Linked DNA regions of Coturnix japonica. The protein of the gene in region 1 purifies or fractionates together with the protein of each later gene. This does not show direct contact. Links are inferred from orthologs where the notes say so. Each region holds a gene or a part of one and is shown on either strand. Other genes may lie near its edges.

Region 1 (5,583 bases):
CCGTCGACAGCAATTTGGATCTCCTGCTTGTGGCATGGGGCTGAGCCTGCAGGGCAGGACAGGCAGAGCCAGGCAACACTGAGCAAACCCAGGCCAGGAAAGCATTCAGGACCCATTTGTCCCCATCAAGCCCCACCAAAGAGGGTCACTATTTTGGGGATCTTACCACACCTCTATCCCTTTGTTTTCAGCTTAATACAAGAGAGATGGGGCCTGCTCTCAGATTTTTGTCTTGCAATGCACTGCCTCACTCATAGTGGGGAAAAAAATAAACCAAGAAATAATTAATAGCTATTGCTTGGAAGAGATCTATCCCGAATGTGGAACTGGTGATTTAGCAAGACGTGACCCACAGCCTGGAATTATCCAGCACACGCTCTGACAGACTTCTCTTTTGTCAGATTAAACCCTGTGAGCAGCTGAACAAACCCCAGTACCAGCACACGTTGGCGTTTCCAGGTCACGGGCACAGAAGCCAGCATCTCACAAACCACCTGCACGCCCAGGAGCTTCAGCTGAGCAGCCTGTGCAGGAAGAAGGAAGGCACAGCATGCAGGACCCCATCCAGCTACAACAAAAGGCAACAACCCAGGAGCAGGTTGATGTGCTCATGGCTACTTGCTGCACACCAGAGGCCATGCTCCCTTCACTCCCCAGTGAGGCCCTGGGCCTCAAGTGGGAGTCACTCCATAGAACTAAACCATCTTCTGTGTGAAGCCAGGAGACATGCTGGCACTGCTCTGCAGCAGGGCAGGGACCAATGTGCTCCTTGCACCTCCAGCATCCCATTTAATCACCTCCACCAGGCCTCGTGGCACAGCTGTGTGATCCTCAGCACACGGCATGACTTGAAAGCAGCTCCTTCCCTTCAGATGTGTGCACAAGATGCAACAAAGCAATCTCAACATACAGGCTCAGCAACAGAGCAGGCTGCAGCTCCAGCTTGCTATCTCTTAACCCACCTGCACACAGAGCTCTGCCAGAAGCCATGGCTTATAACGTTTTGGCTGTAGCTTTGACCACAAAGGGCATCAGCATCTGATAAGCCTAATTTTCTTATAGACTATCTAATGCTACAGTTGCACATGAAGGCTGCTGGCTCTTCTCTCCTTATGAAATACTCTCCCTGCTGGAATTTATCATCTTTCCAAGGCCTGGACTGGCAGCTCACGTGCTGCATGTGTAATCTTGAATGGGAATGACAAAGTTTAAACCCCTTCACAAGGGAGTATAGCCCTTAAAAATGCTGCTTATTTTTACATACATCTGAGGCATATAAGTAAAGGAAGAAAAAGAGGGGGTTGTTTCTGTTGCACAGAGATCTCTTAATGACCTTACCAGAGGGATTCAGCTGTTTTCAATGTTTCAGCTACTGAGAGACATAAATACCCGTTTATATGGGATTTGGCTTTCCCCACAGGAATTAATATGTCCCAGACCTAGCAGGGGATCCTCTTAGGTCAACCAACGACTATGATACTGTCTGCTCCCATCAAAGCCTTTCCTGGTGTGCAGCCTGCACCAAGCATAGAGGTTACTCTTCTTCTACAACAGCACTTAATAGTTTTTAACCAAAGTATCTTGAGTGAGAAGGACACATCCCCATGACCCCCAGAAGATACGTGACCAAGTAAAAACAGATGCTAAAGACCATTAGTATATTTCTACTTTAATCATTAAGAACTGTGGAAGAAGGCACAACTTCTGGCCAAGACGTCCAATATTTAGCTGCAGTAATTAGAAATGGTTAATTCCCCTGACTGTCATTTAATCTCAAGAATGAAACTTCATTTGGAAGCACTAGCAGCTCTGCTAGGATAGCACGTCTTATTGTGACAGCCCAGAGAATAAGGCCTCATTCTTTCAGCTCCTTACATGCACTGAGAAGCACAGCCTCAGCTGCAAAGCACTACCAGCTGCTTATTCTCCAAAATAAAACTTTATTTTTAGTCTAAGTGCTTATTCAGGATCTGTGCAAGCACTCTGATTAAGCTCTCACGCCCATTACAAGCTGTGGCAGATCTGGAATTGATGACACATGGCGATTGTGGCTTCCCAGCAGTGCAGGAGATGGTCAGTGCCACAGCCCTCTGCTCACCTTCTAATCCAACTCATATCAACACCAGCTCCAGGACGTGCTGCTGAACCAACTTGTTTGCTGTCCTGCTAGAAAAGCAGCCACATTTGCCCATAGCATGTGTCAATACTACAAAATGCATCAGAATGAAGGGGTTTCCTGCAAGCAAAGGGTGCTCACAGTTCACTCCTTCCCAAAGCCCCCCCTACTCTTCAGCTGAGGAATGAAACACCATCCCTGTGTCTATCCAACCAGGATTACCTGTGCTGTGCCTCTGTGCATTTGCTTATGCTGTAGGAGAACTCTAAGTTGTTGCTAGGCTGCGTGAAGCAGTCTTATTTTTATCACATGCCTGTTTGTTCCTGTGGAAAAAAAAAAGATAGAAAGAAAAAAGAGCAACCTGAGGCATCCTTAAAGTGCTCGCTGTGCTCTCAGCTACGTCCACGTCCTCACCAGAACAGCTCAGAGCTACCATTCCCCTCTTCAGCAAGCAAGGTTAACACCTTTGCTGAAACGGGGAGCATAGCCTGAGCCAGCACGGCCTGAAGGCAGGAAAACCTGCAAATCAGAAGGCAGCTGATGCTCCCAGCAGTGGGTGGCACCAGGAAAGCAGCCCTGTGCTCTCCCCGAGCATCACTGCAAGGGCTCAGAGCTGCTGCTGCCACTCACCTGGAACCTGACGCACTGCTGACAGCCCTGCCTCGCTTTACAATGGTGACTCCTGTTGGCCACTCGCTCTCCTTGCTAATCAGGAGCTTCGTTTTCCCTGTCGTGATTGGGGTGGAACTATTTGCCTTGCACAGGACCGTTACTAATTGGTAACGGTGCTTTTTTAAAGCTGAGGCTGGTCAGGAGGCTGACACACAGTGAATGGCCATGGCTCAGCTCAGCCAGAGGATGCTCTCACCCAGACAGGGCCCCACTGCCATGCAGGTTGGCTTCAGCTCATTAGAATCACACAGATGGGGCACTAACACAGCTGCAGGGCAGCGTTTTGAGTCCTGCTGCCTCATGCACCACTAGGAGAGCTCTGGCTCCAGAAACTTCACCGCCAAATGAAGATGAGAGGCTGCAGGAAAGGCTCATCTGCTTCCTGCCACCAGCTCCACAAGTACTGGGGAAGCTGCAGCTGAACTGAACGTCACAGGGTCACGAGCAGCTCTACCTCGGGGTCAGTGGGCAACCAACAGACCATCAGGGTCACCCAGAACAGATGGCGAGCGACCTCCGAGCACTTGGGGGGGCTACAGCAGAACATAACATGAATAACAAACATAAGTTCAAAGCAAGGTTTGGAAAGCACGAGCACGGCGGGGCGGTGTGGGAGGGCTGCTCCAGAGAGCTGCAGGGAGAAGGCTGCTATTAGTATGGTGAACACGGCATGTCACACCGATGGGAAATGGAATGGGGGCTGCAGGAGGGATAGCAGCACCCACACGGTCCTCCCTCCCTCCCCCCACCCCCGCCGCCCCCTCCCACCTGCAGCCGCTGTAGGTACGAGGCCGGCGCGTATCCCGTCTCCCCGGAGCCGGCCCTGGTGACGAGCCACCAATGCTGGTTGCTGCGCTCCAGCAGCAGGAAGGTCTCCCCGGCGGTGAACGGCAGCGAGTTGGGCTCAGCCGATCGGAAGCTGTACAGGGCCCGGTACATGGCTCCCACCGCTCCGCTCCGAGCAGCCGGACCGAGCCCCCGTGCGTCACCGCGGCGACACGCCCCTCCCCACGCCCACCAGCGGGACCACCCCTCGACGTGTCCCTGTTTGCAGGGCACCCTGGTGGTGCGGAGGGGAAGTGCTGCTGTTGGGGCTGAGCTCAGGGTGATCCTGCTCAGCAGAGGGCAGCAATGCCCCGCACATGGCAGCAATGCCCCGCACATACATGGTAGCAATGCCTCGCCGTGCTCTGCTCCTTCTTGGCAGCCACAAGTGTCCTATTGCGGGGCTGAAGAGTGAGCCATGCTCTGCTCTGAGGTTGGGGGGTTATTGAAGCAGCACCTCGCCTATAGGGCAGGGCTGTGATCGCATAGGACGTACATCCCTGTCCCCGCTGTGCTGCAGGAGCTGGTGCCAGGGGTGGGAATGGGCTGGTGCCAGCGCAGGGAACAGAATGAATGGGGAGAGATCGGGGCTTGGAACAGAACTGGGGCTGTGTTTCCGCAGAGATTAATTCGTGTCCCAGGGTGAGGTTTCCTCGCTCTGTACAACGTCAGATGTGTTTTCTGAGTGTGTCCTGCAGGGCTCCGTGTCCCGCATGGCACTGCCACCATCATGCAGAGCACAGAGCACTGTGTGTTGGGCGCAGGATGGAGCTGTCAGCACACAGACCCTGTGCCACAAAGCCAAGGGGCTGTAGGGAGTGAGTTAAGGTGGCCAGGTCTACTTCTGCCCCAGGTAGGAATGAAATAACCTACATGGTATGAGCAGCTGGAGCAGGAGTGGGGTGATGGTGATGGTGATGGTGGCCAAACCGCAGTGCAGAGGGTGAGGATGAGCCCCTGTGCTGTGTGGGGGGCAATGAGCGCTCAGAGCTCACCAGGAGCAGCTGCTGATTAGGAGCTGGTTGTTAATTGCAAGCTGCAGGTAATTTATCTTGGCCTGGGTGGGGAAACTGCGTCATATGTGGGTGACTTCTGAAGGCGAACTTCAGACCTCAGATAACGGTGCCTCCATCCATTGCCCCCAAAACCCAACACCACAGCCCCACGCTTCAGGGTTGGAAGGCAACGAGCCCATTTCCCTGCTGGGTGTGCTGCGTCTCTGCACATCCAGCCCCCATGGAGACCATCACCATCTCTTGGAGCCCTCGTGGTGTGGGGCTGCAGTGGGGCCACTCGGTGCGATGGCAGCGATAGGAAGCGTTACACAATAGTGCTCATATGATCGAGGCACAGCGGTGCCAGCGCTGTGTACACTTATATAATCCCACACTGCCCGCTCGTCAACAGGTTGCAAAACAGCACTGCGATCGATCCTGCTACTTTTAGGCGTGCAAATATTATTGTGCAGTACAGAGCTCTCTCGAGGCAAAAAGTCAGAGGGGCTCCGGAACTGAGCAGTAGGCAAGGCCACAGCGTGGGTGTAGGGGTGCAGCATGGTGCCTCTGTGCTATCCCAATATCCCAGCATCATTGCACACCCTGATCCAGGGTGGTACGGCCTTCAGCTCCCTCAGCAGTGGGTTGAGGCAGCAGAGCTGAGCTGCAGGCTGGGCTCAGCCTAGTGCAAGGCGTGCATGGTGCCTATGGACGGCTTGGCCCAGGCCCAGGGCCCCTCCTTTGGAGCAAGGAAGGAACATCCAGCTGCTGTCAACAGCTGCAGTTCCTAGAAACGGCCCAGACAGAAGGGTGGGGGGGAACCTCACGGCCAGCTCTGCGTGGAAGAACAACAGCCCCGTGGAGCTGTGCCCAAGGAGGGGAAGCGGCTGTGGGATGAGGCCTATGGGGATCTGGTGGGGGGCACGGCTGGGGGCAGCACACAGCGGGTGCTTGGCGTGCTGTGTGACACGGGCT
Region 2 (5,826 bases), on another chromosome or scaffold:
ATGCTGTTCTAAGAGGAAGGCTTAAGATGTAGGCTTACCTGATTCATTCTGCTTACAATGCTTAGCAGAGGAGGAAAGCCCACCTGAAAAAAGTCAAGTTGGAAAATGCAGAAACATCACAAACACCTTTTTTTTCTAAGTTAGAACTTACTAACATTTAATGTTAGTATTTGTAATTGGTAATTATTTTGAATTCTGTTACAGAATAGCATGTACAAAAACAGGGAGCAACTTTACAAAACACTAAACCAGACTATGGATAAAACTTCAGCTGGCAGCGAATTAGCGTGTTTTAGCTGGGAACAGATGAGGGAACTCCCCGAACTTTTTGACTGAACTAATAGATTTGTTCTCTGCTTCACTCAATTTCAACTTAAAAGGGAAGAGAAATGGGTCTTACTGGGCTCATCAGCCAGCTTGCTTTATATTTAGCACAACGTGATAATAAACAGTAGCGTTGTTTCTGGTAGTTATTTGTGAAAATAACAGTTGAAAATGAGTCCTCTTATACTCACCTTTATGTAATCAATTCCTAGATTTTCATGGTCAGATTCTGCATCTATTTCTGAATATACTCTTTCACCCAGGCAGAACTTCTTCCAACCTTCTTCATCCTCTAATTTGGGCTAAATTAAACAAAAATAATTGAAACCAGTGAAATATAGCTATCTTGAAGACACCAAAGAACAGACATGATAATACCAGTTGTTGAATTACACTGTAAAACAAAATTAACCACAAATGTAATGACTAGAAAAAACAGAACTGTTAAGAATTCTACTTACCATGTTAACATTGCTGTCCAAATCCTGTGACCGCCAGTGATTTCTGTGCTTGTTCAGGCTCTGAATAATTAAAGCCAAATCAGTTTTAACTTTACAGTTATTGGATCCTAGCCATAATCTTATCTTCACTTAAAAAAGTATGTTTTGAAATCAGTAAAGGCATTACTGAGCACATATTCATCAAGCCTCTTAGTATAAATATAACTGTTTCTTATACTGGGTTTTTGGAAATAATATTAAAGTCAAAGGAATTGTAAAGTCTACTGCATGACGTTTTAAGTAGTAAGTTTTACTAGTCTTAAAATCTTCATATACACCCTGTTTGAACAGTGTATAGAGAGAGACTGCTCAGTTCTTCAATTCTTTTCTGTCAAAGCAAGATACAAATGTGGTAGGAAAGTCTGTGCTAACACTACCTCCGCACTGCAAATCCATTTTAGCAGATCGGTATTTCTGAACATAATGGCTCCCACTAGTGCCCATAGGACTCTAAATGGACAGTGTTTTACATATATGAAGCTCATGGTGAGGTTGGAATCTACTTGTTCTATAGTTCTACAGAACAACGTAGAACACTGTTGATTTTAGTGTCACTGTGTAACATCACAGTGATTTCTGTCCTTCATGGAGTGCTATGTATCATTCAGTGTAAATACTGCCAGATATTTTTGCTTTAACAGGACCACAGAATGGCCTGGGTTGGAAGGGACCTCAAGGATCATGAATCTCCAATCATGAATCTGATCAAAATGTCATGAATCTCCCTGCCACGGGCAGTGCCACCAACCTCCACATTTAATAATAGACCAGGCTGCCCAGGGCCCCATCCAGCCTGGCCTTGAACACCTCCAGGGATGGGGCATCCACAACCACTCTGGGCAGCCTGTTCTAGCACTCACCACTCTTATAGTAAAGAACTTCCCCCTCACATCCAACCTAAATCTTCCCTCTAACTTAAAACCATTTCCCCTTGTCCTGCCATTATCTACCTTTTCAAAGAGTTGACTCTCAGGAATGAGTTTCATCAGAAGTTTAAAAGCCTCACAGTATATTCACATTTTATTTTTCTATTTTTATTAAGAAATTAAAGCAGTTGACTAGCAACATCTGATCAAAATGTCATGGCTTTATGGCAGGAAAGATAGAAGGTTGTCCCCCCTAAAGCACAGATGTGCAAGTTTAAAGCATCCCTCCAGTCTCCATCACACACAGAATTTTCTACCTGACGAACAGATGAGAAATTGGCCACTTGCTGCTGCTGCCACTTGAGTGTTGGAGAGTATCCTTCCGGAGCAGGCTGACAGCCAGAAATCTAAGAAAACACTGGCAATAATTATAATGTATAAAAAGCTTTATAAAAATAATCCTTAAAGAACAAGAGAAGTAGTAAACAACAACGACAGACTGCCAGCAGATAAAAATACAAGTACTCGCTTTAAGAAAGGCAATTTCCTGACAACTGATTTAACAGTTAGTCTGGACAAAATTCATCCTGCTTGATGGTGCATGTATGCAAAGAAGGAAAATTAAACACACAGAATGTGCTGTTGAAGAATCATTTAAGGTCATGTTTTTAGCACCTATTCTGCTTTAACTTCCCTGTGAATAAAAAGGAGAGTGCTCCTTTTTATTAACAGAGGGGAAATCCCAATAAGAAATTCCATCAACAAGTGAAGAAATGGTGCTAACATTTCATCTTACGTTAGCTGTACTTACTGCTCTTACTGCCTTACATACATCTATATATGATCTTCAGGGTCTTTGAATCTAGATACAGATATTGCTTTCTTCTAAAGCTCACACATGCTTTAAGATAGACTTGTAGAATTTGGCTCAGCATTTGATTCCTTCAGGCAAAAAGAAGTCTGCTGTGTGTCAGTTAGTAGGGCTATGGCTGATTTACACTGATCAGCTACAAAGACTCCTTATTGCCCAGAAACTCAACAGGTATTTCTTCGAACCCTAAAGTTTTATTTATTTCATTAGGAGCTTTAAGATCCAGCAAAGCTGCTGTTTCAGTTATGCTTATGACCTCCCTATCTTTCCTGCTGCTTGTTTCTTATAGCAAAAGGAATAGAGCAGCCCAAACTTACTGCAATATTTACTGTCTGCTTCTTTCTCAGTTTCTTGGGGTCTATTTGTGCCACGACCACATCTGGGCATCGCGCTGCTTCGATCCTACAAAATAAAACCAAACCACTGTATTGCAATGGGCAGTTATAGGACGAATGCCTCTGATATACGGCACCTGCAGAAATCTTCACTTATGCAAAAACCAACTGACTCCACGGGCAATTGTTACAGAAGGTCTGACTTCAGAATTAACTCTTTATAAACAACTGCACTTATGTTTGCATGCTCCTAAACTGCCTTGAAGTGAGGCCCGACCGGCCCGCCGCCAACCCCCGTCCCTCCACTCACTGGACGCGCCTCAGGTACTCCTGCGGCGTGCGGGGCGGCACGCTGGGGTCGAAGTCGTCGGGCAGGTCGCAGTCCTCCACGGGCAGCAGCCGCGGCATCAGCTCCTCCACGGCCGCCTCCATCGCCCCGCCGACACGGCCGACCCGCCTCTCCCCGCCGGCCGCCGGCCCGGCTGCTCTCGCGAGAGACGTTCCTCGCGCAGGCGGAGCGCCGCCGCCGTGCCCGGGCGTTACGGCCATTGCGGGGCTGTGCACTGTGCCGTCCTGCCGGGGAACCGGCCACAGCGATAACCCCGTTACTGAGCTGGACGGCACCTCTGATAACCACATTTAGGCCCCGCGTCATTACCTACCTTAGCTTTCGCAAGTAGCTCTTCACAACTCACCCATACTGTCTATTCCGCCCGTGGAAGGGCAGTAATAATTCTTATCCCTTCCTTGTCACGTCTAGAGACCTACAGTGCAAATTAATTGCCTAAAAGGTCACTGCTGTAAATCCAGGTGTAGTCCTGGAAGCGTTTGGCTGAGGTTTCATTTTGTTTCTGGATGGGTTTATCCCAAATCAAAGCAGCAGTAGCACTGAGGTGGGTTACTTCTCAGGTAAAACACAGAGGGACAATGCTGTACTTACTGAAATAGTGTAAATTGTCCCTTATTAAACTCCTGTGTATTGTTGTTTCTTAGTACAGCATGTCATCAGTGTGCTAAATGCAGCCCATACAGCAGAACAGCCTCTTACATTGACCTCGGTTTTGTCCTTTATTTTCCCATAAGACTGTAGGTTAGCAGTTCCAAACAAACATCAGCCTTAACTCCTCCTCTCCGCTGACCTTTTGTTTGCTTTAAGGTGTTTCTAAATCCACTTACGTGTAACAGGGAGCCCGGATTTCACATCCTGCTTGAGTGCAACAGCTGCAGTCATTGCTGGACATAAGTCCAGCGAGCCCAAAGCCACAGCAATGGCCCCGCTGACCAACAGTCCAAGCAAAAACAACGGTGAGTAAAACTGAGGAGTCCTCTTCTAAAGCTTTGGTCATATTCTGAAGTTATATTTTTCTATCTGTCACGGAGTCAAGGTCTTTGAACGGAAAGAGATGCCAGAAATACAAATGTTTGGGTTTGGTTTGTTTTTTAATATATTTTCTGTACATATTATTTGCTGGAACTTCTGATTGATACCATTTAATCCAAGTAACTTTGCAAAACGATTGCAGGCAATCTAACAACAAAACTATCACGGATTTTAGCAGCGATGTCGATGCAACAGCTGGTCAATGGAATTCAGTGGAAGAAGAGGAATAAGCACCTGGAGCAGAGTATCATAGCTGTTTCTCAGCTGCGTAGCCATTATTTTCCACATAAAAGGTGAGCTGCTACCTGCGGCCATGCACTGCTGCCTAAGAACATCTGACACGTCGACAGTGTTGCTGTTATTGCCTCTCTTTGCTTCTCTTGGTTCTTATGTAATGGCATTTAACTGTGCTAACAACTCATGAGAAATACCATACATGCCATGTCCTCGGCACCATCCAGCTGGATACTCCCACAGCTGGCATTGGGAATCAAGGGCAGTGAGTATTAAAACCCTCTCTTCCAGATGTGCTTTTGTTTGGCTACTCATGTTTGTAGACTAAAGAGAGCCGGCAAACAATCCTGTGGATAGTCATGGTATAGAACCCAGAAAAGCAACAACAACAAAGACAAAAACTGGATTGTACATTCAGTGCTACCTAAAACTTTCTCTGAAGATATTAAATACATATGTGTTATACCTTATTTCTAAATGTGAGATAAAACAAGCTGAAAGTCACCACAAATATTATATTAACCTTTTTCCCCCCTATCCCTCTACCCCCCCTCCAGGAAGCCTGAGAAAACACGTAAACACCAGGAGGCGAAGCTCCCTCTAGTGGCTGCAGTCCGTCATTTCCCAACCACTGCTGGAGGAAGATCGAGCTTTATAGCAGAAAGCTCAAAGTCGAAAGGGAAAAAGCAGACGAGCAAACGCGAGCCCCTGCGGCCGGTAAGTCGGCCGGTAAGGCAGAGAGCGGCTGCACGGGCCGTCTCACGCCGGGTCCATCGCTGCCCGCTGCTAAGGGGACGGTCGGCCCGAGCGCGGCGCGTCCCGGCCCGGTCGCAGCGGGGAGAGGCGTGAAGCGGCGGCGCTCAGCCCGCCCCCAGCCCCGGCCCGCCGCTCTGTGCCCCTTGACGTGGCGGGGACTCTCCCATCAGCCATGTTGGCTGCGTCGGCAGCGCTGGGGCGGCTGCGTGCGGCGCGGGGAGAGACAGAGCGAGGCGGGCGGCGGCCGGGACGCGGGGTGAGCGGAGCCGGGGGAGCGGCGGTGCGATCGCGGGGTTCTCCGTGCGGGGCTGCAGGCGCTCAGCCAAGGGAGCGCGGGCGGGGGCTGCCTGTCTCCCTTCAGCCACTCTCGGCGGAGGAGAGCCGGAGGACTCCCCAGGGCCGAGAGCGACTTGTCAGCGCTCCCCACGGCCCGCCGGGGAGCGCCCATCTCCCACTCGGAGCTCCACGGCCTTGGCGCCGCCACCGCTCCGCTCTAAAGGGCGGCTCGGCCCCGTTGGGGCGGGGGAGGATACAGCGGGACCCTGCGGTACGCTCGGAG

What was found.
Region 2: the proteins of NCKIPSD (region 1) and GEMIN2 purify together in Homo sapiens (co-immunoprecipitation; 3 studies listed by BioGRID and IntAct, counting the BioPlex papers as one, with this or other methods). This does not show direct contact. The link is inferred for Coturnix japonica from reciprocal best matches to the Homo sapiens genes NCKIPSD and GEMIN2.

What each region holds. Positions count from the first base shown.
Region 1 is NC_029527.1:6,654,609-6,660,191, reverse strand, and holds the start of NCKIPSD (NCK-interacting protein with SH3 domain), read right to left. Parts: upstream 3,799-5,583; 5' UTR 3,728-3,798; coding exon 3,557-3,727; intron 2,375-3,556; exon of another isoform or gene 2,360-2,374; coding exon of another isoform or gene 2,339-2,359; intron 1-2,338. UniProt on the Homo sapiens protein: Has an important role in stress fiber formation induced by active diaphanous protein homolog 1 (DRF1). Induces microspike formation, in vivo. In vitro, stimulates N-WASP-induced ARP2/3 complex activation in the absence of CDC42.
Region 2 is NC_029520.1:34,101,157-34,106,982, reverse strand, and holds the start of GEMIN2 (gem-associated protein 2), read right to left. Parts: upstream 3,461-5,826; 5' UTR 3,446-3,460; coding exon 3,207-3,445; intron 2,964-3,206; coding exon 2,879-2,963; intron 2,098-2,878; coding exon 2,008-2,097; intron 846-2,007; coding exon 786-845; intron 627-785; coding exon 516-626; intron 84-515; coding exon 39-83; intron 1-38. UniProt on the Homo sapiens protein: The SMN complex catalyzes the assembly of small nuclear ribonucleoproteins (snRNPs), the building blocks of the spliceosome, and thereby plays an important role in the splicing of cellular pre-mRNAs.